Medicago truncatula: one gene and its partners. The protein of the gene in region 1 binds, or shares a complex with, the protein of each later gene. Links are inferred from orthologs where the notes say so. Each region holds a gene or a part of one and is shown in the gene's direction. Other genes may lie near its edges.

Region 1 (8,575 bases):
GGTTTATTCTTTCCTATATGATTGAGCCGTACAAAAGTTGATTGGTGAAATTTGTTTTGGTCATATCATTGACGTCCAAAAAGTTGATGATTCAGAAATTTGTGCATTTAAGATCAGGTTGATTTGATGATACAAAAATTGATCACATAGGAATATGTTAGCTTCTTTCGATAACAGAATGAACAAAGGGAATAAAATTAAATGATGTATTATTGTATCTTTATATAGGACTTTCGATGTCAAGGGATTATGACTACATTAAGGATCTAAAAAATGATTTGGACATTTGGAAAATAGGATTTGGAGTGCTGGATTCTTGGATTGTAAATGGTAGTAATGAGAATCAACATATGAAGCTCATTATTTGTGATGCAAAGATTAGATGAGTTGGTTAAGATTTGTTGTAATTTCATTTATGATTTATCAATGTTACTTATTAGTGTACATTTTGATTTATTTACATTTTTTGGTTTCTTTCTCGAATTTAGGGTGATCGAGTTCATGTAATAACTCGGTATAGAGAATTGGAGCATTGAATGACTTTGATCGAGGAAAACAAGACTTATACTTTGTATAATTGTCATGTGTTTGATAATGACATTGTATTTAATCTCTTTAGGGTTGTTTTTGGTTCTGATACAAAGGTGCAGAAGTATGACAAGTTAACTAACGTTCTTACTCATGAATTTCGTTTTAAGTCATTTAAGGAAATTCAAGATGGAAAATTCAAATCTGACATTTTATATGATATAGTTATGTGCTTTAATTTATTTCTTTGTTTTCTCCGATTATAATATTATTATAGATGTAATATTTTTTTTAAGAAATCATCGGGCTTCTTCATGAGATTGTCAAGACAACACCAATTGGGACTAGAAAGAAACCGTGTACGAACATTGTGTTGAAAGATAAAAGGTATTATTTTCTAATTTGTCAACATCAGATGATAGAATTTTGTATAAGTTTGATAATGACCTGAAAGATGTCTTTCCTTATGCAGTGAGAATATAGTTGATGTAACACTATGGGAAAAATACTCCGTAGCTTGATCATTTACCATCTATTTACCTTGAGTTCTTCCATTTTGTAGTCATTGGCAACCCAAATATATGTAACAATTGGTCAGGTTCGAGGCTGCTCATCAACCTACATTATCCGGTTGTTGAGAAGTTTAAGACTTAGTAAGTTTGCATTATGATTTCAAAATATAGTATTAGAGTAACTTATTATTTCACAATCTGATTTGATTGTTTTTTGACCATGTTTCTTGAATTGTTGTCGTGACCTTAACACTTCTCAAGCTCAGAGTCAAAGTATCAGTCATAACTTAAGTTAGAGTTCGGCTTCTTCTCAACGTACTTTGTACAACGATTTTTTCAATCTGCCTCAGGTTAGGCCAATTACTGAATTTATAAACTTAGTCATGGTCTGCTTTTTTTATGCACGAACATGCTTTGAGTTTTTTGATGCACAAGTTAAAAATATATATTGCATTATTCTTTATTTCATGTGCATAATTTGGATTAGGATACATACTTCATCACTATTTGGAAAACAACTAAATTCAATCCTAACCAGTTTGGATGGTATTATAAGAGTTGCACCAAATGTTCGAAGACATCAATGTCAAATGGTGCTAGCTATAGATGCACATGCGGGAGTGATGCTTAATTTCCATTTGTTTCAACAATGTTAATTGGTCAACGGGGTTCATATAATGCACATACATGTATTTATCTAGACTTTATAGGAAGATAATAGGAAGATAAATTAGAAGTCATGATACATTTTCTTTAGCTTAAATCAGTTAAGCTACCTTTATTTTATAAATTATATGTAACTATATTCGCATGCAGAGAAAGTATAAGTGTCGTCTCATTACCGCCGAAAGAGCAAGCTATGAAAAATACTTGGGTGGGCTATGGATCAATTTCTGCAGAGAACGTGTGATGATAGAAGGTGGTAAGCTCATATTTGGTCTCGAAAAGTCACCGAAGAACTTGCACGTTCGAGTTGTTCTAAAGTAGATATTTGCTGCTGAACTATTTGAACTTCTACTATTTTGACGTATCGCTTTGGACTGTAATCGTAAACTATTTTGACTTTGGGATGTCATTTGTTCTTTTCATTTTGTCTGATGTAAATATTGGCAAAAATCTCTTTTTAGTTAGTCTTTGACACTTGGAGTCTCTTTTATAAACCTAACTATTATGTAACGTTAATCTGCACATTATTGGTTCCTTCATTGGTTCAAATTAGTATCATGTTAATTATAATGTTGTTTTCCTAATCTTTTGAACAAAATAGAACATGCCCTTTTTCTACAGCAGATCTTTATAATGCTTTGGAACCAACCCATACATATTTTATGATGAATTATAATGTTCCGTCGTTTTAACATATCTTCTTTCGATTTTTTTTTTTTTTTTTATCAAAAACGTTATTGAACCCGTGCGAAGCACGGGTTTGTAACTAGTTTAATAAAAAAATTCTAATGGAATTAAAAAATTGGAAAAAAAATAAAAAAGCCAAGTCAACATGCCAAATATTCAATTTTATACAGTCAGCGTCCCATGTCAGCTTATGTGCACAGTCAGATTGGTTCAGGGGTGCAAACCAAAAAATCTTCATTTTACAAGGAAGAATCTCCAAGTTTTTTTTTATAGGGGAGTATACCAAAAGACCCCCATATAACAGGGGGGTAAAAGCCTATTAATCTTTTTATTTTTTTATTTTTATCAAAGCACAAAAGATCAATACACCGAGAGGGAGCTTGTACCCTTTATAAAACAAGATTACATAAATGTTTTTCTCGGGAAAGGCAAATGAATGCTATCTCTCCGGAGAAAAGCAGCAAGAAAAGGAGAATAATTACTCCAATATTGAGAAGAAAAAAACAAGGGCAAGCTTTGACCATTTTTGGTCAACGCATCCGCTGTCAAGTTTCTCTCCCTTGAATATGAGTACAAGATGAATTAATCATTCTAGTCATAACCATGCAATTACTCCAACGGATCCTCAAAGGCCAAAGTACAACAAAATTGGAGTTGAAAGCATTAACCAACATCAAATAGTCGGTGTTAATCCACATGTTTGCCAACTACAAAAACTCATTGATCGGTCATCTTGACACAATTATTGAGAAAACAAGTTATCACATAATCGAGATAGGTTCTAAATAAAGTTGAAAATCACAAATATGTTTAATTGAAACAAATAATGATGTCTGGATTACAAGATTATTGTTCAACAAGGAATAAACGTCATTTTGGGGATCATCCAAGTCAACAAATTTAAATGTATTGTTCAAGATGCCGATTCAAATATTCTCATCATCGAGAAGGAAACCATAAGATTTGAATTGACGAGTTTAACGACAATAAGGAAAGATTTGACATTGTTTAATAATTGTCTAGCACGCTTGGTGTTGACCTCAAATTTGTTGTGTAACAAGTAAAAAGTGGTGAATCTAATACATTGAAGAGGAGTAAACTCAAGGAAAAAGTTTCATAGTAATTTTAGAAAAATATATATAAAAAGAAGGTTTCCAAAATCGTAAAAGTAACCTTATTTAAGGAATGATATTAAAAAGGAATGTCTAAATTTGAAAATAAACATATAAATAAGAGGAGTTTGGATCCTATCTTATAAATGAAGATTGCAATTTGGTAAGAGATATAAACAAAACATAAATTGTAGGTTCTACCAACAAGTGGGTTCCATTATCATTAATTATTTACAAATTTTATTGTGTCTTTATATCTTCAAATGGAATAAATGGATGAGATCCAAAATAGAGAGATCTTAACTCAAACGAAAGGACAAAAAGACATAATCGAGCAATATATATATAACGCATTGTTGTCTTCTTTCAATCATACAAATGTCGCGTCAGTACCAATTTGTCCCCACTATATTGAACTATGAATCCCCCAAATGTTTTATTCCTCTCGACCAACCTTTGTAGTTTGATCTTTCTTTTCAAAAAATATTTTGAATAATCTAAGAAAATTAAAATATTGCTTTTAATAACTCATGAAAATCATTAATTTTTGACTATAACGGTCAAAATACATGCAAATGAAGACTTTCTTGCAAAATTAGATGACTTCTTGCAAAATTAGATGACTTCTTTCAATCATACAAATGTCGCGTTAGTACCAATTTGTCCCCACTATCTTGAACTATGAATCCCCCGAATGTTTTATTCCTCTTGATGTAGTTTGATTTTTCTTTTCAAAAAATATTTTGAATAGTCTAAAAAAATTATAATATTGCTTTTAATAATAACTCATGAAAATCATTAATTTTGATTATAATAGTCAAAATACTTGCAAAACTAGGTGACTTCTTCTTCTAGTTGGTTGTTTGCTTGATAATGTCATTAGAAAAACAAGTCAAAAAGTTGGATTTGGTTCTTAATAAAGACGAAGATCATAAGGAGTTAATATGTTGAATTGAAAGAAACAATATTACTTAGATTCCACGATTCACGTTTAGCATTGAAAAAACACTGACTCAGGTAATTAAATTCATTGTTCTGGATGCTAATTATCACATACTTACCATCGAAAAGGAAACCTTATTATCGAATCGATGAGTTGGACAACAACAATGTTTGACAAAGGCTGTCAAGGGTTTGATGACAACCTTAAAGCCAAACTTAACAAATTAAAAATGACAAATCTTAGAGAAACAAATATTATTAAACTCATATAGTAAAAATCTTCACCAATAAAAAAATAATACAAAAACTGCAATAAACTATAAAATTAACCTTATCTCTTCTAGTAATATCCCTCTAACACGTGATCACGTGGAAGCCACCGTTGTAATCAAAGAACTAAAAAGATAAGTAAACTCGTATAGAAAAATGAAATTAAAAACTTATAAAAACGTTAATATTTACCTTATTTATCTTACTTACAACATTTGTATAAAATGTGATCACCATATAACCAATAATTAATTATTCTTTAACGCCATTGCAAGGCCGAAATTGCAAGGCCGGACGTCATGACCCGGGTTCGAACCCGGGATCTCACAGTTGTGTGTGAGTTTATTTTCAGTGGATTACCACTTCATCTAAGACCAAAAAAAAAATAAAATTATTCTTTAACGCATTTTAAAAAAATAAAATAAAATTCTTTAACACATGTTCCATAAAAAAGTTGCACCAAATAACATTAGCTATCAACATCAAAATCTAAAATCTAAAACACATTGAGAAGAAAAAAAAAAAGGTGTAAGAAAATCCAAGTATTTGTTCAAATAAAGTAATATATAAAAGGAGAGAGAAACATGAGAGAGCACCGTGAGACACAAGCCCAGAGATAGAGTGAGAAAGCGAGAGAGAGAGAGAGAGAAGAGAGAGAGTGCGGAATCACGAAAGAGCGCGTTCTTCTTCTTCTTCTTCGTCTTTCCTTTGCTCCTAATTGACAACGGTTCAAAAATTAACCGTTGTCTTTTTGACCTAAAACCCTAATTTGATTTCGATGCATTAACAGATCAAGAAGAACCCTAGAATTGAACAATCGAAATCAATGGCTACGGCGGAGTTAGGGCAACAGACGGTGGAGTTATCCACCCTCGTTACTCGTGCCGCTCAAGATTCATACAATTCGCTTAAAGAGCTTGTTGATAAATGCAGGTCCACCGAATTATCCGATTCCGATAAGAAGATTAGCATGCTCAAATTTCTTACCAAGACTCAGCAACGTATGATCCGTCTCAATGTCCTCTCCAAATGGTGCCAACAGGTCAATTTTTTCATCTCATTTCTATTTTTAATCCCAATGTTATTGAATTTCATCTTTGTTATTGTTTATTGTGTTACTAATTGTTATGTAATGTGTGTGTGTTATGTTATGAATTTATGTATGATATGATGATTGTGTTGGTGGGCTCTTACGAGTCCTGATCTTCTTTTAATAATATTTGTTATTAAAAATTAAAAATAAAATTGTGTTGGTCATGTATGATATGATTATGATAATGATAACATTTAGTGTTAGAGTAAGAGAAAGAGAGTTTGTATATGCGATGATTTGCTAATAATTTGTGGCTTTTCAGGTTCCTTTGATACAGCACTGTCAGCAACTGTCTTCAACTGTTTCGAATCACGACATGTGTTTTACTCAGGCTGCGGATTCGTTGTTTTTCATGCACGAGGGGCTTCAGCAAGCTCGGGCTCCGGTTTATGATGTTCCATCCGCCATTGAAATTCTTCTCACGGGGAGTTACGAGCGTTTGCCAAAGTGTATTGAAGATGTTGGTTCTCAGTATGCTTTGACCGAAGATAAGCAAAAGCCTGCTTTGAAGAAGCTGGACATGCTTGTTCGGTCCAAATTGCTTGAAGTTTCTCTTCCCAAAGAAATTTCTGATATAAAAGTTTCCGATGGCACTGCAATGGTTAGGGTGAATGGAGAGTTTCAGGTTTTATTGACACTTGGGTACCGAGGACACATGTCCTTGTGGAGAATATTGCATTTGGAGCTGCTTGTCGGTGAAAAAAATAAAACTGTGAAACTGGAAGAACTACGGCGACATGTGCTTGGAGATGATCTAGAGAGACGAATGGCAGCGGCCGAAAACCCATTTTCAATATTGTACACAGTTCTTCACGAGCTGTGTGTTGCACTTGTCATGGACACAGTAATAAGGCAAGTGCAATTCCTTCGACAGGGAAGATGGAAAGATGCAATTCGGTTTGAGCTCATATCTGATGGTGGCTCTGGTCATGGGGCAAGTTCAAGTTCTGTGCAGAATCCTGACGGGGAATCTGATTCGTCTGGTCTACGAACTCCGGGGTTAAAAATTATTTACTGGTTAGATTTTGACAAAAATGCTGGTGTGTCTGATTCAGGTGCTTGTCCATTTATAAAAATTGAACCTGGACCAGACCTTCAGATAAAGTGCACCCACAGTATCTTTGTCATAGATCCGTTAGCTGGCAAGGAGGCAGAGTTTTTCTTAGACCAGAATTGTATTGATGTAGAGAGGCTGCTATTAAGAGCTATTTGTTGCAATAGATATACTCGGCTATTAGAAATTAAAACAGAACTGATAAAAAATGTTCAGGTCTTTAGAACAGCAGATGACGTTGTGCTCCAGTCTCATATGGGTGAACCTGATATTGAATATAAGCAGGTTAGATTTATTGAAGAAATTTTAAAGTGGTAATTTGCATTGGGCTTTCTGTTAAACGACTCTTTTGAGGGGTTTTTAATGTCCTTGTTTGTTGTCACAGTTTTAGAGGTTTTACTTCACATTCTTTTCGTTTCATAGAACTCTACTAGAGTTCTAATTCTGAAAGTTCTGATCATTGTTATTTTCTTTCTTGTTTAGCATTATAGCATACTAGCGTTGCAATTACTTTGCTTCATAATTGCTCATGCAGGAAATGTTTGTAGTTTTGTAAACTGTGAATCTGGTATCTTGTATCTGCATTACCAGCCAATGGTTTGGGGTTTACTTTGTTGATATGCACGTGTTTTTCAGTGCAATACTGTTAACCACTTGACCAATAATCTATGCCATGCTAACTGCTGTTGCAATTTTATGTTTTCATTTATGGCACCTTATGGATTTTCTGTGGGTAATCTTATGCATACCTTTATTTAATCTTGATGGGTTTTAAAATTAAGATATGTTCTGTCTGTAGAAGGATAATAAGAGATGCGATAAGGATTCTGAGGGGAACGAGGTACTGCACGTGCGTGCTTATGGCTCTTCTTTTTTTACTCTTGGAATTAGTATCAGGTACCTTATTTCACTCACTTGTTTTTTTTTCCCTAATCTCTTGCATTTTAATCTAGGCATTTTCAAACCAATTTCCCTGTTTTTTATTCAGGAATGGCCGATTCCTTCTTCAATCATCACAAAATATAGTTGTTTCTTCTGCCTTGTTAGAATGTGAAGAAGCTTTAAATCAGGGATCTATTACTGCAGCTGAAGTCTTCCTAAGCTTGAGAAGCAAAAGTATGTTGCACTTATTTGCATCTATTGGAAGGGTTTTGGGCCTTGAGGTACATTTTCTTGTTACTCTCTCCATTTGTGTTTCAAAGAAAAATCTCTAAATCAGTTTGGACTGTCTTTTAGCTTACTTTTATTCAGATCACCAGCTTCCCTAAGATTTATGGATTATGGGCCACCCTTGCAGGTTTATGAGCATGGATTGAACACAGTCAAAACACCCAAAACCTTGTCGAATGGTTCAACTGTGCTGATGATGGGATTTCCAGACTGTGGAAGCTCTTACTTCCTGCTTATGCAACTTGATAAAAATTTTAAACCCTTGTTTAAGTTGTTAGAGACTGAACCAGATCCATCTGGAAAAGACAAAATATTTGGTGACCTTAATCAGGTGCTGCGGTTCAAGAAAATTGATATAGCACAGATGCAGGTGCTTGAAGATGAAATGAATTTAAGCCTGGTGGACTGGGCAAAGTTGCATTCCATTTTGCCCAATGCTGCCTGTCCAAATCAAATGTCTGGGCATGGGCTCTATTCTGATACCCGCCTTCAGAATTCCATGCACACTGCTAGAGGCCATCATCCGTCAGGTTTTTCATCA
Region 2 (8,118 bases), on another chromosome or scaffold:
ATGAAACAAAGTAGAGAGGAGCTGATGAAAGAGTTGGAATTTTGAAGGGAGGGAAAAACAAAAGAAAGTTAGTGAGAGAGAGAGAGAGAGAGAGAGAGAGAGATAGATGGGAACTAAACAAGGGTGTAGGGACTTTTGTGAAGTGAGAGGAGAGGCTTTGGTCCTTTTTGTGTCTGGTCAAACTGAAAAGGTGTTAGCTTATGATTTATATTTTGAAGGGTCTCTCAAATATGTGTAAATATTGCACATTATAAAACAACAAAAGTGAATTTTTTTTTATTGAAAAACAATAATTATTTATTAAAGAAATACATATTTAATATTAAATGTATAAATTTTAATATAAATTTACTTTTTTGAACTTATAAATATGTACAAATTTTTATATGTTAGAAAAAACATATTTAAATATGGATTATGATTTAAGACACATGTTAACGTTTCTATAAAAAAAAAAAAAACAAATATAAAACTTTAATCTCTTGAGAAATAAATTAGCACATTTTTTGATACAAATTTTTTATCTTTACGTGTGTCCGGTTAACTTTTCTTTGAATATTTATTATTATAGATATTTATTCTTTTTTTTTTATTAACAAATTACTAATACGAAGTTTTCACTCACGTTAATGATTAATATATATGTAACCAAAAAAAATAGTGATTAATATATCTAATCTTGTTTAAGACGGTAAGACATACGATATAACTTCTCATTTTTATATTTTTTTACACACCAGAGATCAAATATATTATCATTTGATTAAAAATTTAAATTTTGTTATTTATTAAGAAACATAAAATTTATTGATAACTGTCTTTTTCTATTTGAAGAGGCTTATTTATTTTGTTTGGTCAGGTAGTCTATTGACTAGAATTCACCTTATAAAGTAAATAAGTGGGGTGTCCGGGGTTCGAACTCCAACCTCTACATATAATAATGTATTGTTTTACCAACTGAGCTATGTTCACAGGACTTTGAAGAGGCTTATTGATAACTGTCTTAGTATGACATTGTTTAAACTTTAAAGAACCAAAATAAATAATTATTGTATAAATAATAATATAATTATTACTTTAAAAAGTTTTTAATTGATATTTTCTTTTATGCATTTTTTAAACAATACAAGAGTTGGAGTATTGTTAAGAAGACTTATATTTATTTATTTATAGGATTTATGAATGAGTGTTTGTGTCAGGAATCCAATATAACGTCTGAGATAGACCAGGGCTATAATTCATTCCAGGACAATTTGTTCAGCCTTTACTCTATCAATGTTTGATTCAGTGTTTGTATGTATGTACTACTACTAGGTGCTGTAGTGCTAGTAAATAGATACCTTCGTACTTTATTATCATAATTTTCAACTAATTCAGAGAAATTATTAAACTGAAAAGTAAATTAAACTAAATAAAACATTATTGTATTATTATCATTATTTTTGTGGTGAAACATTATAGTACTATTTTTTTAGTGCTGTAAACATTACAGTATTATACAACTAAACACAAGTATATCTCAAAAACACTACAGAATAGAAAAGTAGACAGAGTTACGTGTTATTGTCGGGCTTTCTTTCCTTAATCCATGTTGTTAATTAGGTGGTGGTGTGCGTGTGCGGGAATAATTAAAGAGTTCATTTATTTCAACATAAAAATACTTATAGTATTAATCAAATCATTAGATTTAAGTGACTACAAATTGTTCGGAAGAAATTCAGTTTGATTTTTTAAAACAACTTTTGGTCAGGTTTATTTATCTCTCAACCCAATTTCAGATTTGTATGGCTTTATGACGTTATACCAATATAATGTAAGGATTTTGATGTTTAAATATCATTATTCACAATTAAAATGATGTCGTTGTAAGGATTTATCACTTATTTAAAAAAAAAAAAACAAAAAGACAATGGTGTCACACTCTATATTGAGTTGGAGAGGTATATTATGTTGGTACAATTTATGAGAGATAGCGATTGGTGTGATACGAGACATACGAAGTTGCTACTCTCTCACATGCTGGACATGCCTGTATCTTACTAGTTGCTTGCGACTTGTTTGGAGTTATTTTCATTTCTCATAAAATAATTGAGAATTTTGTTTTTGTACCACAAAAATTGAGAATTTCATTAACAATATATTTCATCAATCTCATGAATAGAGTACTCTATTTCTTCTAAGAGATAGAGAGTTTCTTAACCATAAAGAATCTTAAATCAATTTTTTTTTAATAGAAGAAATAATTTTCACTAACAATTCTTATGAGACCATTTTATAAGTTTTACTACTTTCTTTTTCCATTGTGACCTCAATATTATCAACCAAGGTGATTCAGACATCATTAAGTCAATTTATAGGGAATATTAAACGTAATAAAGATTTTTCTATGATGTTTATATTGTCGATATTAAGGAGCATTTAATGTATTTCCGTGAGCTTAGCTCAGTTGGTAGGGATATTGCATATTATATGCAGGGGCTGAGGTTCGAACCCCAGACACTCCACTTCTCCACAATTTAATTGTGTGAGCTCTAGCCACTAGGCTACTTGACCCAAAAAAAAAAGAGCACTTAATGCAATTGAAGAAAATTCTAAGAAAAGTTTAGTTCTACTTTGAATGCCACATCCTTATAGAAAGATGGTGATGACACTAAGAAAGACTCCTTCGATGATGAGAAGATTGGATTATTTATGAGCCGATACGATACAATCAATATGCCAAGAAAAATGAGTCGAAGCGTAGTGACAAAAATCTCATGAAGTTTCGGAATGCAAAAACCAAAGGAGGTGAACTTAAGAAGGAAGAAAATGTTCTTAATTGCTGCTATTGGTGCGGGGGTCCGGGCACTTAAGAAACAAATTTCTATACTGTTACAAAGTGAACTTCTTTGAAGGAAAACATGATCTGAAATTGGACAGGCCACAAAAACAAATTATAATATGTAAAGAGAAAATATATGTTGTGATAAATATTAAGCACAAAAGTTGTTTTTTAAGGAAGTATCAAACACAGAGTTGATAATCAATAAATTAAATTACATATCTTAAAATTTAAAATACTTCTCCATCCGATGTGAGTGACTTGAAACCATCAATAATAATTTCATAATTAATATCTGTAGTAATTTTTCTTTCAGTAAAAATTGTCATGTTATGTTTAGAAACTCATCTTAAATAATTCTAGATCATGTTATCTAAATTATAAAGCAATACTAAGAGTTGTATCAACTAGAAAAGACGGCAACAATATTCCGATGAAGAGAGTGAAAGATATGGAGAAAAAAAAAAGAAAGGCGTGAATGTATCAATATATATGACATAAACATGTGAGAACCCGGTTAAATCACCATCACTTTTGTTTACGGTGGTCGGTGGAGTGGAACGCACACGTGAGAAGAAAAAGGTCGGTGAGTCGCAATTAATTTGTATTAAAAATTTAGGGGTGTTTTAGTAATTTCTTCTATATAACAAACTTTTATTTTTCTTTTGGCGGTGGGTCGTGGCCCAATTACGCCCATTAAGAGCTCTGCCACTGCCAATGTGTCAACCACATGTAGAGTTTGCACTTTGGAGACAAGGAAAGTTACGGCAAAAATGAACTATTTACGGGTATGTGTTACATTAATCAACAATTAGTGTCTATGGTATTTGACAATAGAGCAATGAACTCCTTCATTTCTTTCAATTGCTTTTGACGATTCATGCTAAAATTATCATCAATGTTTTAACCCATGGTGGTAACCACAACTATTAAAGGTAGGATTGAGACTACTTTAATTTGTGAGAAATGCCCTATCACCGTTTTTGAACAGTTCATCCTAGTTGATATTATTAGACAATGTTCATAAGATTATTCGATGCCTTTTTATTAGAGGACAAAGTTTTCTTTTAATGCTTAGAGGGGTTACTTAAACTGAATAATAAATGAGTGATATACTACTATACTAGTAGTTAATGAATGAGTTTAAAGATTATTTTCTTTATAACGAAATTACTTCTTTACCACTGGAAAGGGAGAAGATTTTATATAGACTTGGTTCCAAGAGCAGAACCTATTTCCATTGCATCTTATCTGATGCCTCTATTTGAACCAAAGGAACTTAAGACACAATTGGAAGATCTCATTCATAAACACTTCATTAGACCCAATATGTCTCCTTATGGTGCACCAGTTATGTCGATCAAAAAGAGGGATGATAGGATGCAATTATGTGTCAACCTAACAAACTAACAATACAAATAAATATATGTTACGACAGATTGATGATCAGTTGAATCAATTTAGAGGAGCATCGATCTTTTAAAAGATTGATCTACGCTCAAAGTATCATCAAATAAAAATAAAAAACTCATACATACCAATACCAAAGACAACATTCAAGATCTCTTACGATCATGTGAATTCTCGATTTTCCAACCATATCTTGATAGATTCGTGGTGGTCTTCATCAATGTTATTATAATCTACATAACATAATTTAATTAGATGCATGCTTAAAAAGATCTTTTTTTTTGGTTACATTACATGCTTAAAAAGATCTGTATACGATAAAAAAAAATATACGGTGCAAATTATTACCGAAGATATAAAAAAATACGATAAAAGAAGTAGTTATTAATGGTAGTTATTTGTATTTGACTTACACATAGCCAAAATCGGATTTAACCGATGCGATACAGTGACACTTGACTTTCAACGTTCCTAGCTTCCGCTACAACACTCCAAAGCTTAAACCCAGAAACAAAAACGAAAATTGAATGAAAGCGTGAAAATGGATCAATCTCAAAATCAAAGATCAATTACAACAACAACATCACAATCGCGTTCTCTTCAATTCCACCCAGCGCGTGTTCCAATTCTCGATCTCTTCAACCTCTACTTAGGACTTGGAGTAAGAATTTTCTTTCCATTCTCTTTCTTTCCTCGATATTTTCATCTTCCTCATTTTCTTTTTGTTTCTTCAGAGAAACAGTCGTAACAAACCTGACGACTCAATCCGTGAACCACCGTAAGTTCACTCACTGCAACAATGCTCAATTCTCGTTAATCCTTTATTTTTTGCTTTGGTTTTTTAGTTTAGAGAATTTGTTTAGGGTTTTGTAATGTGTTTTTGTTGAAAATTTGATTTCAGGAACAAAACGCAGAAACGTGTGCACGCGATTAACAGAGAGCTTCCACCGCCGAATGAGCAATTCATTGTTGATTTTGAGCAGCTTCAGAGTCAGTTTCCTGTGAGTTTTTTCTCTTCAAATTACGGATTTTCGCTTTCTTGTTTAAGTGATGTGAAAGCCTGCAAAGATGGAATTGTTGATTTAGGGCATGTTTAGATTGAAATATTTGAGCTTATCTACTGTCATAATGTTTGGACCGACTTATTTGAGCTAATCTACTGACATGAGCACTTGTGAGACGGTTTGGGAGAACTGGTGAAAACAACTTATAGCTTATACGAAAACAATTTAACTAGTTTTATCTTTTGTCAAGGAGATAGCTTATGCATATGAGCTTTATTATGATAAGAGATTGTGCTATAAGCTGCAAATTATGTTGTTTATCCAAACAAGAACTACTTGGGACAGCTTATGGAAACAACTGATGACATTTATTTAATCTTTTGACATATAAATAACTTATACATAAACACTTATATGATAAACGCTTAATTAAACTCTTTATCGAAACAGGGACTTATTCTTCAAAACTGTAGTTGCTGACTAAATCATCAATATTTTGAAAATCTTCAATCATATTTAATGCATGTTTGGATGACTGGTGACACTGGAAAATCAAAGTGAGCCATCGTGATTCTGTGAGACTACAAAGTGCAGTGTTTGCCAAAATCACCACAAGTCACTGTGATTTTGCCAATCTCTCCTCTTATGCAAACCAAACATTCACTTAGTGGTCATGGACAATGTTTATGCGTTTCTGTTGTCATTGTTGTATTTATTTATGTTAATGGTGCATTTTTATATCAGGACCATGAGCAATTGCGTTCTGTGACAGAAGCTATTCTTATACCGCTGGTCGTACAGTGTAGTGGTCATGGGCCACGGTCAGATTTTCTGCTTTTTGTTTTACGGAGCTTGTGCGGTATTGGGTGCATTAACTGGGACACCTTTCTTCCGGCCCTTGTTTCTTCAGTTTCTTCAGCAGAAATACCGGTTGGTCAAACGAGTCAAGCAGTGTCAACAGTTACCTCCTCTAGCTTATCACAGTCGGGAATGCTGCCTCCGCCAAGCACAATTGCTAATTCTTCTAATTTTCAGTCATCAAATCCCGCATCTCCATTGACTTCTGTCCATACTATTGGCTCCCCTGCACAGTCATCTATTGAGCCGTTGTCTTGTGCAGCTCTATCTCCTGTAAAATCATCTGATATTTCCTCGGCTGGACAACAGTCTAAACAAAGAGGTAGCCCATCTGTTAGAAATAATGATATCAGTTACAGTAGCCTTCGCCAGCTATGTTGCAAGATTATTTTAACTGGTCTTGAGTTCAGTTTGAAACCCATGACATATGCCGAAATCTTCAACCATATGCTGAACTGGCTGGTGAATTGGGACCAGGGACAACAAGGAGTTGATGAATCTGATAATCAAAAGTCATGGAGACCTGACAATGCCTTAGTTGCATGGCTACATAGTTGCTTGGATGTGATCTGGCTTTTAGTTGACGAGGGAAAATGTCGGGTTCCCTTTTATGAATTATTACGCAGTGATTTGCAATTCATGGAGAATATACCTGATGATGAAGCATTATTTACACTTATCTTGGAGATCCACAGGAGACGAGATATGATGGCTATGCACATGCAAATGTTAGACCAGCATCTACATTGCCCTACATTTGGGACTCATCGGATCCTGAATCAGACAACACCTACTATTTCAGGTGAAGGAATAGCACATTTGCGCCTATCACCAATCTCATATTTAAGTGTGCTTGGGGAACCATTGAACGGAGAGGTAAAAAATCTCATTTCTATTTCAAGAAACTCAATATTGATGAATGAGACTGTACTTGAATGCTTGGATACTATCATATTCTTCAGCAAACTAGATATTTACAATACCCTTTTTCATCTCTTGTTAAAAATGCAAAATAACGACCGTCTTAAAATCAATACTACCTGTACTAAGATTTTTGCTATGAAAGTGAGGCAAAATGGTTAGCCAAGTAATCACTTGATCAACCAAGCCTTCACAGCACGTCAAATAAAAAGTTGACTGGAAAGTTGTTTAAAGTAGGGAATCAATTTCATAATTCTGAAAGATTTAGTTTGAGTTATTAATGATTTATTTATGCGGAACATTTGATGTAGCTGTTCAGAACTGTTTATAAAAATGATTGAGCTAGTAAATCTAGTTACCCTGTTTGCTTCGGTTTTGGGCATCAATAAGTTAAATATGATCGTCACGTTTCCACTTACATAACAATCTGTATATATGCACTGTGTTTCTGGCTTTTTCCAGATCTACCATACAGATAGAATATTAGTGGCATGGCATTTCGTCACTGTTTATTTCATTAATTTTCATTAAATATATCTATCGATATAATTGATTCTAATAGACAGTCCATTAATAAATTTTCTAATATTCATTGATTTCTCCAATTTGAATGTCAACTATTATTTAATTTTTTTTAGTTTGTCCAATATTCTGCAGTCTTATTCTATTCTGATGGAATGCATGTATTTGAGTTTGATCATAATTTGTCTCGAGTTGATAAACTAGTGTCTTGATGTTTGTTTGTAGGATATTGCAATCTCTATTCAGAAGGGAAGTTTGGACTGGGAGAGAGCTGTACGTTGCATCAGGCATGCTCTTCGTACTACACCTTCACCTGATTGGTGGAGACGGGTACTGGTACTGGCTTCTCCCTACAGGCCTTCAGCTCAAGGGCCTACTGCTGGTGCTGTTTTTTCTACGGAAATGATCTGTGAGGCAACTATTGATAGAATCGTAGAACTATTGAAATTAACAAATTCAGGCAATGATCCTCTCTCTCTCTCTCTCTATATATATATATATATATATATATCGTAGATAGAGTCGTAGAACTGTGTGTGCGCGCGTGTGTATTTCAACTCACAAAACCCATGTTAGATTGTC
Region 3 (8,155 bases), about 13 Mb from region 1:
TGTTTAATCAAGTGTTTGTTTTTAATTCTTATAAAGATTGTGTATAAAAATATGTTAATCAATTCAGCTACAAAATCACTGCGTGGAAGCCAATGGAATTATGTAATTGTTTTGTTCTATCCTTCTAATATTTGTTTACTTTTTACTTTGAAGTAAACAAATTTGTTCGATGTATTTTGGGAACCTATCTGGATATGCGTAGTAAAAGTAAATCGATGAAAATTTTGTTCAATTTTACACTTTTAATTTGGTGAAAATTTTTGCTCACCATATTCTGAGACAATATATTTACATTTTTCTATTTGAAGATTTTTTTTTTTAATATATTTACACTTTTTAATTTGAAGAATTTTTTTTTCTCAATATATTTACACTTTTTTATTTGAAATAATTTTTTTTAAGGATTATTTGAAATAATTTTTTTGTTCAATATATTTTGAGACAGTATATTTCCACTTTTTTGTTCAAAATTTTGAGACAGTATATCTACACTTGTTGGTTTGAAATAATTTTTTTGTTCAATATATTTTCGGACCAAATCTGAATATATGAAAAAAAGAATAAATCAATGAAAATTTCTTTCTTTATAAAAAAAATTGTTTTAAATTTTACGACTTTAATTTGAAGAAAAAATTTCGTTCAATATATTTACACGTCTGATTTAAAATAAAAGATTGTTTTTTTTATATATTTTGTGAAGCAATCTGAATATATGTAGCAAAAATAAATCAATCACAATTTCGTTCAATTTTACATTTTTAATGTGCACAATAATGTATTTTCAATATATTTTTACGCGTAGGGCTGATATGTAAGACGTTTTGAAAATAATTAATTATCTAATTACCAACTTGATTCCTCATGCTTTTCGAAGGCTCTTATCGATATTGTTTCGAAGGCTCTTAAAATGTCACATATGAGAGATTCTGGCGAGGAAAATCTTAGCATTTAAGAGGTCCAAGTGACCCACCTCTCTTTTATGGAAATCTCTTTCGTGTACCATTTACTTTGCGAAATGAACTAACTGTTTTATAATTAATCACTTCGTCTTGTCCCAATACTCGTGTTTTTAGTATTCTAATTATATCCGTAAACAACTTTTTCTTTAAAAATGTTGTAGTGTAAGATTTCATATTTTAAAAGTTACAAACATTTATAAAAAAGATCATTCCTTATTTATTTATTATATTGATATTCTGCCATTTTTATAATATTGTTATTTTTAAAATAATGATTGCATGTATTTTCTATTATAATTAATAACATGCCATTTTTATAATATTTAATTAATTATGAGAGCAATTTTTTAATTTAATTATAATGATGTCTTGTTTGTTATCATGTGCGCATCAAACACATGATAAGATTAATGTTTATCATGTCATTATCATATTTTATCTCCATCTAACTTTATATCATATCTTACCTGTATCATATCCTGAACATCAAACAGACCTTAATAATGTTCTTAAATCTTCTAAGCATTTTCCGGAGTGTATAAAAAAAATGTACAAAGTTTTTTTACTTCTTCACAATTATAGTGCATAAATATAGCCTCCATACCGTAAAGAAAAAAATGTATGGACCAAATTATTTGGACTTCAGTGGCAAGAAGCTTCTTCGATTGACGTATCCGAGAAATATCGAATTCAATTCCTAAGAAAAATAACACTTGATCAGTGCACATGCCTCTATGCACGAGCCAGATTAGTCGCCACCTTTAATAGATCAAAAATCAGTGCGAAAGAAAAAATAAATGTACAAAGTTTGTATCACAAAATCATGTGTGACGGTGCAGTGAACTTGATGTGTCGCCGCCACCACCATACCATAGTCTCTCACTTCCAAATAACAACACGTCAACTTCTTGACCACCACCTACCCATTTCCATTTTTATGTGTCCATCACCCACAGCTTTTTCTTTTGATGATACTCACTCTTCCATAGTTTTTTAGCTCAAAACCTTCATTAATTGAATAGTAATATGTACGTATATTTTGAGGTAGTTAATTGGTGATTTACTCAAAAAATAAAAATTGAACATGTTAAATTTAACCAATTATTTACTTTCATTTTTATTAAAATTTGTCCATGTAATATGTACGTATATTTTGAGGTAGTTAGTTATCTAGTTATGCAAGTTGAATAGTTAGTAACTCGTGAAGGTAGCTTGATAAGAGAACTAAAGAACATTGAATAAGTTTTAAAAAGAAGGTCTCAAATTTGATCCCAAAAATTAATATAATCATTAACTTAGTGATGGAATTTTAATGATACTTTTTAATTCAGAGTATTATTTCTGTTATAGTTTATTACGAATGAAGTTCCCGATTAAAAGATTTTTTTTATTTATACATTTTTTTTAAGCGGTGTCAAATAATTAAATAAAACAATTTTTATGTGAGGAAGGAAGATTTTTTAGATATGTTTAAACGTTTCAGGTTTGAGCCTTATTAGTATCTTTAAAGAGAGATAAATATAAATATATTTGTAGTTGTTCTTTTGGTCAAAAGATCTTCTTTTACCTTAAACCGAGCGTCTTCCTCTCGCTCTAAATCTTTTTCTTTAATAAAAAGGAAGTTTATTTGTTGTTTATAAAATTTGTGGTCATATCATCTTTTGTTTGTTATAATAATATTAACTATTTTAGTCTTTGACTATAATTATGTGCACAATTAAAATAATATTAAAAATAAACCATTATTCAATTTCAAATTAATTGTGTTATTTTACCAAAAAAATATTTTTGGTCTTGAATAAAATTATGTATTAGCAAAAATTACCTGAAATTTTAACTTGGTCCCTTAAGTCATAAAATAAAACTCCTATTATTGAATTGATACTTTATGAATCATCAACTTAATTTCGGATAATAGTTAGATCCATTATTTATTTTTGTTTTAATTTTGTCTTTTCGATCTTTTTTTTATGAATTTTTAAGTTTCAAATTTATGATTTTATCTTCTTCTGACTTTTTGATTTATAAATTTATGATTTTTCATACAATAAAAAATATAAACAGACAAACACATACTTAAAAAATGGTAATACTCGTCATTCCATTAGTTATATGGAAGAAATGATAAAATGAGTGAATGAGTAAAAAAGGTAAAATTATATTTAAAACTTGGTTATCAATCAAAGTAATTTTTTAATTTATACCGAATAAACTTAAAAAAAAATAAAACTATGCATAAGAAAAGATAGAGTAAAATCTTTTGCTAATAATTATATCTAAACAGAAAGATTTGGATATGTTCGAAGAATATGAGATTAAAATAAAGAAAACTCACAAAAACTTGGTTGTATTTAAGCACCGAGTCTAGGGCCCCACATAACTCGTTCCTTCAGAACCGCTTTCTCGGCCCTATCTATCTATATCGCACCACATTCACTACCTACTTTCTTATAATATTTTTTTATTTGAGAGATTATTGTTTTTTATGAATATTCCGTGTATATCTTTTTTACTCAAGAATTCAATCAAATTCAATTAGTTATCTTTAGAGACATTTTAAGAAAGTAAATAATCAAATCAACTAATATATTTTGTTAGAGATATTTTTAGGGAGTAACTTAAAAATATGTTATTATTGTTTGATTTAGTTGAATTCTTGTATACAAAGTCTTAAATTAAATCATTTTTATTCCGGAAAAAAAATTAAGTCATTTTTATTAGATTTAACTTATGCGAATATTCCGTCAAAAGGAAAAATTACACATAAATTCAATCAAATTACTCGTTATTAGATTTAACTTACAAGAACATTTCATCAAAAGGAAAACTTACACATAAATTCAATCAAATTACTCGTTATTAGATTTAACAAACACGAACATTCCGTCTAAAGAAAAACTTAAACATAAATTTAATCAAATTACTTGATTATGCCTTCATATGTGGAAATACCTTTTTCGTATTGTCGTCCGTAAATGATTTGATTCATTAATAAAGTGTATGTTTATCGATTATGTTGTTTTTTATAACCGATTATGCTATTTTTTAAACTAGTTCGTAAAATATCTCCACAAATATCTATTAGACGTGAGTTTTATAATCTTATCTTTAATTTTATCATTTGTATGGTAAATTTTTATTTATATGGAAACACCATATTAATTATAAGATTATATGGAAACAATCCGTTGAATATAAAATTGAACCATTCTTGTCAAAATAATAATGATAAAACTTGAAAAAAAAAACCTGTTGAATAGAAAATAGAATATAAAACTAGTCAAATTAAAAAAATACAAAATAATAACGAGAAAAATTATATATAAGTAATGAATCGACAAACATTATGCTCTTTTTATTGTGTTAAAATTTATAAGATTATAAATAAGTGTTTCATATAAGAGTTTGATTTTGATTAAAAATATAGGTGCTCTTTTTATTGTGTTAGAATTTATATATTATAAACGAGTGTTTTATGTAAGAGTTTGATTTTGCTTACAAATATAAGTGCTCTTTTTATTGTGTTAAAATTTATAGATTATAAAGAAGTGTTTTATATAAGAGTTTGATTTTGATTAAAAATATAAGTATAAATATTTGTTTTGAAGAAATTATATAGATATAAATATTTGTGACTCTTAAATTACAACAAACATAACAAAATATGTTTATCTTTTTCGATTACGGAGTATATCAACAATATCATAAATATAATATAAATTGTTTTTTGATAAGAAATATAATATAATTTTTTTTTTTTTAGGGAGGTATATTCTTATATTTTTTATGGGCCCAAAATATAGGTAAATTTCTTTAAGAAAAATCAGTCCAAAAAATACCCTAGATATATTATATGAAATAAAAAAATAGTAGCACAAAGAGACAGAACTTAGCACTTCTCTTTCTCCACATCTTCTGTTGCTCTTTTTCTAATCTTTCTCTCCAAACCAAATTTTGTTTCGATCAAAGTCAAAACACAACCAAAAGGTATCATCACAATTCATAAAACCCTTTTTTCTCTCTCTAAAAGTACTTCTTCTTGTTGGAAGAGAAACAAAAGTACCAAGTTTTTCATACGCACGCGGTATTGGACTATTCATATACCATACCATCATAGTGCAACATTACGTATACATTAAAAAAAGCTGTTACAATCTACATAGGTAGATAGATATTATTATGATTATGTTTTTGTTTTTGTTACACTGAATCTGCAGTTTCTTCTTGTTAGATTTTTCAGGTGTCTTATTTTTTCCTTAAATTTCGCTTCTTTTTTTTTTTTTTAGATGTTTTTTTGTACCTTAAAAAACAAAACAAAAAGGTTATTTCTTCTTTTTGAGGTTTTTGGTTTTTATTCACACCAGAAAAATGTGAAACAATACAATATTTTTTACATAACACACAACGTAGTAATTTGTTATCATATATGCGTGTTATGTTGTTTTCTTGTTTCTGGTTTATGTTGTTTCTTGTTACCGAATCTGTTCCAAAACCATATCATCATCATATCCAATTTTCTTACCGAACATTGATCCAATCAAATTTTCCTAAATGGGATACCCAAGAATATCAAATTTAAATTAAAGTTAATAAATTTACAAACTTCCAAGAATTTGATTCTTGATTATCATTCTTTCAGACTAAAATATTCACCCTTTTGATCATTCTTTCGTCATTGTTTTATTCAGGGTTCAAGATCAATACCTGAAGAAGAATCAAACCGATTTTCAATGACCCAAGTGAGAAAAAATTGAGTTTTGAATCGTGGGTGATTGTTTATTATAACATATTTGGATCTAGCTGTTGAAAGATTGAATTTTTTGTTGTTTTGGGATTGAAGATGAAGTCAGAGTCACTTGATCAGTGGAGGAGTTACTTTCGTTCATCGAATTCGGATATTTTCGATATAATTGACCATGCAATTGTTGTTGCTGCTTCTGATTGTCCAAAGGAGTTTAAGTCTAGGAGAGATGGAATTGCTGAGAGATTGTTTTCTGTTATGCTGAATCGTTGTAAGGGGTGTGAGAAGGTTGAATTGTCTGTGCCTGATGATGATAATGGTGATGAACTTTGCAAGAGAAGTTCTGTTAGAGAGGGTGCTAGCAAAGAGAGCAAGGTGGATTGCAGTAGGGAAGAAAATGGAGTGATGGATGCTAACCCTATTAGCAATTACAGCTTTGGAGAAGCTGAAGCTTTAACTGATGAACTTGAAGAGCAATCACAACTTGTTGCTGAGGTTACGAGGATTAAAGAGATTCTCAATAACCATGAAGATGAGGTATAGTCTTTTCTTTTTCTTTGTTGTTTGCATACTGATGCATTAGTTCTTGATTCTTTGAATTATAATTTTCATGAATGTGTGATGTGATTCTTGGAAAGGATACGTCTTGATATGGTGTTTTTTGGATGGCATTTTTGTTCGTGTTTGAAGGTTGAATTCATTTGTGTCTTATGATCACTGATTAGTGATTGCTTGTTTCATGTTGCTACAGTCTGACTCGGTGCTGTTTGAGTCTCTGAGGAGGCTTCAACTGATGCAACTCTGTGTCGATCTTCTGAAGGTTAGAATTGATCTTTCTTAGTAGCTTTGGGGGAACTTTGTGTTGTTTCTCTAGTACTTTTTTTAAGATTGTTCTCTTAACAATCAGAAATTAAATTGTGCAGTCAACTGAAATTGGAAAGGCTGTGAATCATCTGAGAAAGCATGGATCGAAGGATATCCGTCAACTAGCACGGACTCTCATAGAGTATGGTTTAGTTTTTTCATGGATTTCAGTTTCTCGTCTGCGGATTGTGGTTTATTTTATAATCATGGCCGCTGTGTTGTTCAATATGCAATTCACTATCATTATCCTTAACTAATCAGACTGTTGCACCGATTCCATAATCATGGTCACAAGTTATAAGCCTTAGTTAATTTGAACCATGTTCTTAGTTAGTCATGTGTCCTTGATGTTAACATTGATGACATGCTTTAGATAGGTGAATGACTTGGCCATTATTGTTTTGATTCATATCATTGTAATAGTTGAGATGCCAAATCTGTTAATGTTTTCAATTGGATACCGAACAAACTCAAATTCTAAACTTGTTTAATGTTTTTTAATTTCTAGTGGATGGAAAGAACTGGTCAATGCATGGGTGAAGGCGACGACAACCACACCTGTCGCAGGTAGAATTTTTTATCGACCTTATTAGTGTGGTATTGATGAGTACAACTATGCTGGTTTCTTATTCGATTTCAAAATTAATTCATGTCGGAAAAATGCTATTGAATGTTTGTAGCTTCAGAAGAAGGCACACCGGACTCCAGAAATCCATCTGTTGTTGAAAATGAAGAAGAGGAAGAAGGAGGACTTCCTTCACCTCCTTTGGACGAAGGGGCTTTCTTTGTTGCCCCAACCGGTACGATTGAACTCTCACAGGTATATATACTTGTCCTTTTTCCCTTCTCAAACTTACATTTCAAAGGCTTGTATATATGAAACTGAATTTTGGTTTTTCCTTGTGTTGTATATATCTGGACGATGTAAAGTTCTTTGATGGCATGGATGACGATGGAAGTGAGTTGAATTTGCATTTCATATGTTTAGTCTACCTAGCTTTCGTTGTTACGGTTCTGTGTCTAAATTCCCCTCGTCTTAAATTGATGATTGTAAATGGGGAATGTTTTTTCAGATATTCGAAAGAGTGCACCATTCAACAAGAACCGTGACAACGGAAGAAAGCCAGCTCTTGGCACTCAAACTAAGGACAAGAGGAATTTTCCGGCATCTAATGAAACGGCCGTCACTGCCAAGGACAACAAGAGTCAGCACATGAAGAAAAACGAGGCTGCAGCTAGGCCTAATAAACCAATGGCTGCTGATACTGGCCGTGCAAGACCGTTAAACTCGAACATTCAGCGAAAAGCCAATGTGGAGCCAAAGATGCCGCCGAAAATTGAAAACAGTACTGTCCCTAAGAGGCCTCTCAATGCTCAGCAAGATGTAAGCAAAATAAAATAACTCGTATGTGCATTAATTTTGTAAGTTTGTGGTTCTCTCTAACCTTAATTTTTATGTTTCAGAAGTCCAAGTGTTCAGATGATTTGGCTAAGCTTGAAGCCACTAAGCGGAGACTTCAAGAGAGTTACCAACAAGCTGAAAATGGTTAGTCATTGATTCGTTTTACAAAATCATCATTGTCTATTACTA
Region 4 (8,332 bases), about 4.4 Mb from region 1:
TTTTCATCCATTTTATTTTTTTTAACCGGTCCATTTAATTTTTTAATGAGGTTCCATTTAAGTTTATTATCTATTTTTTTAAGGAATTTTATTATCTTTTTATCACTTATATATTAATTTCGATATCTTTTGATCATCACAACCACGCAAATATTTGTATTCACGCTGTCAATGAATGACACCGAATATTTTTATTCCCTTTCTTCAACCACGGAAATACACACACACATTAGTGTTTAGAGTAATACTTTATGTTCCTCTTTCTGTTTTTTTTTTTTTTTGTTATGCTAATGCGTATAATTTTTGTTAGTGTTGTGTAATGCGTATAATTATTTTTATAAAATTTTGATTTTAATTAAAAGTACAAGTGTAGTTGCCTAAAAAAATTATACTTATATATAATTTACACATTTGTATTGTAACAAACTATGCATATCTTTTTCTTATTAAAAAAACTAAACATATCTTTTTCAATGACACCAGCAATGTAACAAATATAATATTATATATATAAATTCTTATCTTTTTTACCAACACTAAAAATATGGTATTCTTATAACAAAATTTGTTATAGAGTATAATTGGAAAAGAAAAAACCAATTATTCTCATTATATATACACACATATACATATTATAGATATGATTGAGCGTGACGAAGAAAGCAATATAAATGAAGAAATCAGTTCATATAATCCAGGAAGAGTGCAAGATGGAGGCTACATGAATAGAGTTAGAAATCAAATAGGAGTTGCGTTGATGGAGAGTAGAAATATTTGAGTTTGTGATGATTTATGTCTTTAAAAAAATGATTATTGTTTTTAATTTTCCAAACTACTATGATATTATTTATGTTATTATTTGAGCCTCCTTAAATTATTTATCCTATTCAAATATTTAACAAGTCGTTTATATGATGATACAAATTTGTATTCATGTTACACAAAATAAACGTCATTGAGTAAATATAGTATTGGTAAAAATATATATTTTATATTTTAAATATTTTTTCCCTTCAAAAAATATTTTAGACATTTTTTTATTAATTATGTTAATTCATAATGAATTCAAAGTTTTTTTATTTATAGACAATGCATAAATATATGCAAGGTCCCGGGTTCGAACCCCAAACACCACCAAAAAATAATAATTCAAAGTTTTGTACAATATTTTGCCAAATAGCTTTTAACTCAAAAATAACTTTAGAACTAAAAAAAAAATAAAGAAACCAAACAGCTTTAACCTTTTTCTTAAAGAGCTTTATTTTAACTTTGTTTTAAAGTAGCTTTTAGACCGAAAAAAAGTCTGGCCAAACGGTACCTAAAAGTGGGTAGTTACTTATAAATGTGGGTAGTTTTTTTCATTAAAAAATAAATTAAATTAAATTGATGAGGATAAAATTGGAAGAAAATATAAAAAGCTATGAGCTCCAAGCTCAAAAGCTACTTGAAATAGCTTCTCATAAAAAGTTATAAACTCATGAGAAAAGCTCGTTAACAAACACATCATATGGCTGTGTTTGGTAACACAAAAAAGCTAGCTTATAGCTTGTTGGATTAGCTTATAAGCTCGTTAGATGAAAATGTGGCGTGTTTGATAACAAGCTTTTTTCATGAGCTTATAGTGTTTTCTGAAAAGCTATTTCAAGTAGTTTTTTGGCCTCATTTGGATTGGCTTATTTTGAGCTTATGTGGGCTTATCTATTCCCATAAGCCTTTTTAAAGGTGTTTGGGTAAATAAATAAAAATAGCTTATCATAGTTTCATAAGCTGTTTATGGCAAATTTCAATAAGCCTAAATTTTCAGCTTACCCTCCGGCTTAACAAAGAACTTATGAATTTATGTAACCTCCTTCGATTCTCTCCGGATCCACTTTTCAAAACATATATTTTAATTATAATATTAGTTATCTTTGGCGGTGCATAGTAACAAAATTCCTATATACTTATCTTACTAAAGTAACACATGTAACTAAGATTTTTTTTTTTTTAAGGAATATTTTTATTATTTTTTTGTTACATAACAAAATGAAAACTGAATAAAAAAAACAAACTTAACTTGATATTTTTTTAAGGACGAATATTGATTATACTATATATATATAATTATAATTAATATATTATAATATTGTTTTTTACATCTTGATTAATTTTATCAAAAAAAGTCTTGATAATTGTGGTTCGATTCTCTGATATTTTTGTTAAATTAAAAATATTTAAAATTTCAATAATTGCTTATGTAATGTCACATCCAAACACTTCAATTTATGTAAATACTTTTTAGTGTACATATCGAAACATAAATAGCTTATCAAGTATAAGAGCTTATGATGTAAACTCTAATGCTATAAGCATCTATATAAGTTGTTTATCCAAACGGGGCCTTTAACTTATAGCTGGTAGCTTTTTATATTTTCTTCCAACTTTAACCCTATTAATTAAAATTAATTATTTTTTTAATTAAACAACTACCTATGTTCATCTTTATAACCGCCCCATTTTTCCCTTAAAAAAATACCACGTTTTTTTTAGGAGCACTTTATATATATATATTTTTTTTAAGGAAATGCTTTATATTTTGCTATAACTAACCTGCTCTACACCACACAAAAAATAACTAGCCTATTTTTTTTTAAAGGAAAAAATAACTAGTCTATTGTACGTTTTAAAATTTTATATATTCTAGCTCACATTTTGTTTCCACCTTTCTCTTATTTTTGGGATTCATAAAGCAGAGATCAAAATTGTCGGTGAATTTTTTTTAGGATTAAAGGTCGAAGAATAATTTTATGGAGACTAAGACCAAAAGTTTGAATATTTATAGGGACCAAAAACATATTTAACTATAATTAAAAATATTAAAAATAAATACATTACAAAAAAATGTGTGTGTCTATATGTATATTAAAAAAAATAAATATGTCATTTTATACTTATCAGTCACTTCAACAACTAATTTTACCAAACACATTATTTTTAATAAGCAAGCTTTTTAGCTATAAGTTATCAGCTATCAACTAGCTTTTCAGCTATCAACTAGTTTATCAGCTATTAGCTAGCTTATAACTTATTTTTACCAAACAGAGCCATAAGCTAAAAAGCTACTGGAAATAGATTCTAAAAAAAAGCTATAAACTCGTGAGAAAAGCTTCTTACCAAACACATCACGTTTTCATCCAACGAGCTTATAAACTAATCTAACAGAGATATAAGCTAACTTTTTTGTGTTACCAAACACAACCTTAGTATCTGAGCAAAAAAGGAGTTTACGTGGAATGAATCGTACATCGAAGGATGTTGGAAGTCCCTTCTTTTATAGACCAAAATGCAAAGATCCAACGAGTGATGCAAAAGGTGTTACATATTCTACAAAACATAATATCATGTCTCTCGAGGTCTCTCTTTGACGGAGAAGGAAAATGTATTTAGTGTTTGGGTTTTGTTGGACATGTTTATGAGCTTTAGCCGGTATTGGACTTATGTTTGAACCATGAGTTGTCGAACACAACCCTAGGGTGCGTTTGATTTGCTAAAAAATGAAGGACAAGACAGAACAACTCTAGTTGTCCAGTGTTTGATTTGTAAAACTGTTTCAGGTACAGGACAAACTGGAGGCAAGGGACAGGACAAAAACTCATATTTTTGTCCCTTACCAAACCACAACACAACTTTTTGTCCCACGTACAAGTTGTCTAAAACATCAAAATAGCATTTTGTCCCTCAAAAATCGTATAAAACAAAAAATTACTCAATGCCATAAAAAATTTGTCCTGTACTGTTCTGTCTTGTGTTGTACTGTTCTATCTTGTACTGCTCTATCTAGTACTTGCTGTTTTGCAAACCAAACACAATATTGAGAGAGCTTCTCATGTATCTAATTTTCTAATTTGTTGTAAACGCATATGTCAAATTTCCATATAACTTTTCTTTTTCATTGTTACATCCCATTTAAAAAAGAAATGCATAACATATGCAAGGTCTGGGGTTTAAACTTCGATCACCACAAAAAATAAAATAAAAATATTCAAACTGGATGTTTTATTTTCTATAGTTTTCGGCTTGAAAAATTAAGTCCTCTCAAAATAATGTATTTATTTTTTTCGTTAACTTTTTGATTTTCAAAGGGACGAGACTTGTAAGGTAAATAAAATTCGATCAAAAAGTGTTATGCAAAATGTAAACTCATATTCTCTAAAACGAGTGTAATTTTGTAACAAAAAAAAAAACGAGTGTAATTTTTTTTTAAATAACCTAATGACTGGAGCTCAGACATTTTAAATGTGGAGAAATGAGATGTTCGGGGTTTGAACCCTGATCGGCATATACTATGTATTGTTCATACCAGAGCTAATCTTATGGAGATAAAACAAACATAATTTAACTTAACACATTATACATATGTGTCAAATGAGTTGTGTTATTTGAACAACCATTTAGGTGACAACTTTGATGACAACCATAAATTTACAAAGAAAAAGAGGTATTGATACAAAACCAAAGCAATAGAGAGAGAAAGTAAAAATATAATACGAGTATGAGATAGAAAGTTGTCACAAAAATTGTTAAAAAATGGTTGTTCAAATATCATTTCTCGTGTCAAATATACTAATATCTATTTTTAGAGTTGTTTTTTTTAGGTGTTAACCGTACAAATTTATTTATGTCATAGTGAGTGAGTTTAAGCAGTGGTTACAGTTTGTATTATTTGATGGGCCTTTACCGTTAAACGAAGGCCCAATCCGAGTTGTACGAAAAAATACTAACCGAGGAGGATCCCACTATCTTTTTGCTACCATCCCCAGCACCAAAAACAGTGCAAATGCAACAAACTCAGCAAGCCACGGCGGCAACTTTCTCAACCCCCACTCCTCCTCCCTCCTCCACCGCCGAAGCACCTCCGAAGCAGGTTGCTCTAGCTATGGACAAACTCGGTCAAGCCGAACGTATCATCGCCGACATCCGAATTGGCGCTGATCGTCTCCTCGAAGCTCTATTCATCGCCGCCGGTCAACCTCATCAAGGCAATAAGCCTCTTCAAGTTTTCGTCAAAGAGAATGCTTCTATGCAACAGCATTTTAAAGACCTTCGATCCCTCGGTATGCGTTTTCAGTTTCGTTGCGTTTTGATTGATTTTGATTTCGCGATTAGGGTTTTGGTATCGTCGGTGTTGTTTGATTGATTTTTTCGATTTGATAGGAAAGGAGCTTGAAGAAGCTGGAGTTCTTAGTGAAACTGCACGGTCACGGAAGGATTTTTGGGGATTGCATATGCCGCTGGTTTGTCCAGATGGTGCCGTTGTTGCCTATGCTTGGAAACGACAACTCGCCGGTCAAGCTGGAGCTTCTGCCGTTGACAGGACTAGGTTTGTTTCCGCTCTTTTGGTTCCTTGTCAACATACCTAGCAGACACCGAACACGACTCAAACTCTTAAACGGTTGTAGTAATTTAAGAAAATAACATAATTGAATGTAATCACATGTGTCGGTACTACAAAGCAACTTACAATTTTCCCTTTTGTAGTTGGTTCATTTTGATGAATGTTATGGATAGGAATCAAATCCAAAGAAAAAAGAACCAATGGAATTAATCATTTTTAGTTAGAAAATATTCTTTTTCCTTTACGAAGATATGCGCATACTTAAGAGTTAAGAGGATATTTTAGTTCTTCGAATCGTAGTATTACCTCCGGAATTCATAACAAGCAGTAGTTATACATGATATGAGCTTTAGCCAAGTTATGCTGCCAGATAACTGCCTCATACGTGCCTGAGTTGTGTGGAAATACAATTAGTACAGGTATGCTAGGTTAGTGTTGTAGATTGTTAGATGCAAGGGCCAAGGTTATATGATAAGAACATGAATAACAATGCCACTTGGGGTGATGCGAGCTCACACATCATATTCAAGCTCTAGTCGGTCCAGTCACATGAATGTGTGCTGATCTTTTCAAGGAAGCACTTACCGGATTGATTATACATTTTTTTTTTTAAAATGAAAGAAATTGGCAAAATTACACAATTTGTCTCTTTAACTTCAAGTAATACTTTCGTCCTTTTATCTTTTTTTTTTTTTTTCCGACTTAATCCTTTATGTTATAAAATGTCATCATCATTATTTCTTTTTTTATTAAAAAAACTCACCAAACTCATAAACAAACCCATTTTATCTTCATCATACAATTCTAGAAATCCAAATTTAATTGAAAAAATCCCTTAAACCCATGAGTCCATTTTCTACATAACCTTAATCATTTATTCCCAACTCATCAACAAAATCAGCCATAACCAAAAGAAAAAAACAACCATAACCAAATTCCAACTCCGTACCCAAACAAAAGAAACAAAGAAAATCGAAGAAGAAAGGGTGAAAAAAGATGAAGATCCTTTTATGTTGTTGGAGTGCTAGGTTGATTGACGAGAGAGAAAATGAAGAAGATGAAGTTTTGATGAAATTTTGCATTTTTTGACGAAGTTGTGAGTTTTGTGATGATTTTTATGGATTTTTGATGAATTTTATGTATTTTGTTTTTAATCTAAAAAGGATAATGGTGTTTACATTTTATAACATAAAGGATTTAATAAAAAAAAAGATAATATAGGACGAAAGTATTAGCTGAAATTAAGTTAAGGGACAAATTGTGTAATTTTGCCAAAGAAATTCTATTAAGGAGCACGAATGGCCAACAAATAAGCCTATGCATGGTTGAAGTTTTGGAAAGAGAAAGCGAGAAAGGGTCTCATATTTTATTGGAATTAAGTAATATTAAATTAGGTTCTTATTTCAGATTTGATTCAGGTGGTTAAGTTTAGTCAGTAGATAATAAATACTCTTGGGATTTGTCGGATTTATCATACTGACTTCTCAATGCTGCTGACCCATGTTACATTAGCTGCTCACTTAGGCTTTTGAATGATTTCAGGTTAGCTCTCAAAGCTTTTACTGATCAGAAAAGACGTTTTTTCCCCCATCTTGATGATGGAGTTGAAGCTAATGAATCAGATTCAAAGAAACGTTGTGGGTCTGAAGAAGTCACATTTGAACCTAAGGAAGTAATGAGTTTTCTAAGGACGCTGCCAGATGTTCTGCAGTCCTTGGAAAAGGAAGTGCCAAATGTGAAAATTTCAACTTTTGAAAGGCTGGACTGGTTAAAATGTGCTTCCACACTCACCTCTTCACCAAATGAGAGTTCTGAGGAACATAACTATCGTGGTTCTAGTAAGCGAAAGTTAGGATCAATGGGAATGGTTGCTCCAGAGAAGGTTGCAGTCATAGAATTGCTGTGCCCTTCTATCTTCAGAGTTGTTATATCCTTGCATCCTGCTGGTTCCATTGATCCCGATGCTGTCGCTTTCTTTTCTCCAGATGAGGTATGTTTATATTTACCATGGTTTGTCTTTCCTAATATTCATTACGGGGTGTGAACTATTTGTTCTGGATATCGTATTATAAATAATGACTCGGCGTTAGTTTTGGGATGCTTATGTATCAGGTAACTGACAATCTCAGAAAATTAAGAAATTGAAAATGTGATTGTATTTACTCATCCAAGTCTAACTGTTTCCCAACCTCCACTCTGCATAACTGCCATGCATGCCTTGTAGCTTTCTCTCTCAATGACCATCTTGGCAGAAAGTTGCAACTCTTATCCCCTCTGAAATTTTTTGATCTAGTGCTTCACATCTCTTCTTTCTCCTCCCATAGACTTTAGTTATTTTGAATCATGGCGCCAGGCCTGTAACATCGTGGTTAAAAATATTTTCACTTTCCTCTCTTTTGAAGCCCTAGTTGATTGAAGTGTCGATTGGCTTTTTCTAAATGAAGCTTGTATGAATCCCATATCTAATTCAGCTGCCATACAACTTAAATTTCATCTTGCACTGTTAATTTTCACTGTTCTTTGGTTCTCTACTAATGGCTGTTTGAAGGGAGTTGACATTTCTGATTTACAGAGACTAGACAGAGTGGTTCCATATTTTTTGTTTCATTCTTTCATTTTGTTTTGTCCTTGTTTTGCAGGATATCTTTTTCCCTTGTTTTTTATGACTTATTTTATTTCTAATATAACTTATTTTTAATAATAGAAAGACTTAATTTGTTCATTTCTTATTTCATTGTAAATTTACTTGAATTTCACATCAATTTACTGTGTACTTCTTTAACAGAGTGGAAGCTATGTGCATGCAAGGGGGGTTTCAGTTCATCATGTGTATAGACATATTACGGTAATGGTCTCTGTTGCTAGCTTCTTATATCCTTTGAGTGACTGTTTGAAGTGTTCTGATTATTATAGTTTTTTTATCCTACACTGCAGGAATATGCAACGATAGCTCTGCAG

The links.
Region 2: mediator of RNA polymerase II transcription subunit 14 (region 1) and mediator of RNA polymerase II transcription subunit 23 share a complex: the UniProt entries of both Arabidopsis thaliana proteins name them as parts of the mediator complex. The link is inferred for Medicago truncatula from reciprocal best matches to the Arabidopsis thaliana genes SWP and AT1G23230.
Region 3: mediator of RNA polymerase II transcription subunit 14 (region 1) and probable mediator of RNA polymerase II transcription subunit 26b share a complex: the UniProt entries of both Arabidopsis thaliana proteins name them as parts of the mediator complex. The link is inferred for Medicago truncatula from reciprocal best matches to the Arabidopsis thaliana genes SWP and AT5G05140.
Region 4: mediator of RNA polymerase II transcription subunit 14 (region 1) and mediator of RNA polymerase II transcription subunit 27 share a complex: the UniProt entries of both Arabidopsis thaliana proteins name them as parts of the mediator complex. The link is inferred for Medicago truncatula from reciprocal best matches to the Arabidopsis thaliana genes SWP and AT3G09180.

What each region holds. Positions count from the first base shown.
Region 1 is NC_053048.1:54,600,644-54,609,218, reverse strand, and holds the start of mediator of RNA polymerase II transcription subunit 14, read left to right. Parts: upstream 1-5,305; 5' UTR 5,306-5,543; coding exon 5,544-5,759; intron 5,760-6,072; coding exon 6,073-7,149; intron 7,150-7,663; coding exon 7,664-7,761; intron 7,762-7,852; coding exon 7,853-8,027; intron 8,028-8,161; coding exon 8,162-8,575. UniProt on the Arabidopsis thaliana protein: Component of the Mediator complex, a coactivator involved in the regulated transcription of nearly all RNA polymerase II-dependent genes.
Region 2 is NC_053042.1:11,310,455-11,318,572, forward strand, and holds the start of mediator of RNA polymerase II transcription subunit 23, read left to right. Parts: upstream 1-4,645; 5' UTR 4,646-4,772; coding exon 4,773-4,892; intron 4,893-4,965; coding exon 4,966-5,009; intron 5,010-5,132; coding exon 5,133-5,232; intron 5,233-5,979; coding exon 5,980-6,969; intron 6,970-7,761; coding exon 7,762-7,996; intron 7,997-8,118. UniProt on the Arabidopsis thaliana protein: Component of the Mediator complex, a coactivator involved in the regulated transcription of nearly all RNA polymerase II-dependent genes.
Region 3 is NC_053048.1:41,746,147-41,754,301, reverse strand, and holds the start of probable mediator of RNA polymerase II transcription subunit 26b, read left to right. Parts: upstream 1-4,822; 5' UTR 4,823-4,946; exon of another isoform or gene 4,947-5,199; intron 5,200-5,647; 5' UTR 5,648-5,689; coding exon 5,690-5,698; exon of another isoform or gene 5,699-5,799; coding exon 5,800-6,237; intron 6,238-6,451; coding exon 6,452-6,520; intron 6,521-6,623; coding exon 6,624-6,706; intron 6,707-7,072; coding exon 7,073-7,131; intron 7,132-7,244; coding exon 7,245-7,384; intron 7,385-7,494; coding exon 7,495-7,522; intron 7,523-7,637; coding exon 7,638-7,948; intron 7,949-8,028; coding exon 8,029-8,110; intron 8,111-8,155. UniProt on the Arabidopsis thaliana protein: Component of the Mediator complex, a coactivator involved in the regulated transcription of nearly all RNA polymerase II-dependent genes.
Region 4 is NC_053048.1:50,166,783-50,175,114, forward strand, and holds the start of mediator of RNA polymerase II transcription subunit 27, read left to right. Parts: upstream 1-4,746; 5' UTR 4,747-4,816; coding exon 4,817-5,093; intron 5,094-5,193; coding exon 5,194-5,359; intron 5,360-6,916; coding exon 6,917-7,364; intron 7,365-8,159; coding exon 8,160-8,219; intron 8,220-8,308; coding exon 8,309-8,332. UniProt on the Arabidopsis thaliana protein: Component of the Mediator complex, a coactivator involved in the regulated transcription of nearly all RNA polymerase II-dependent genes.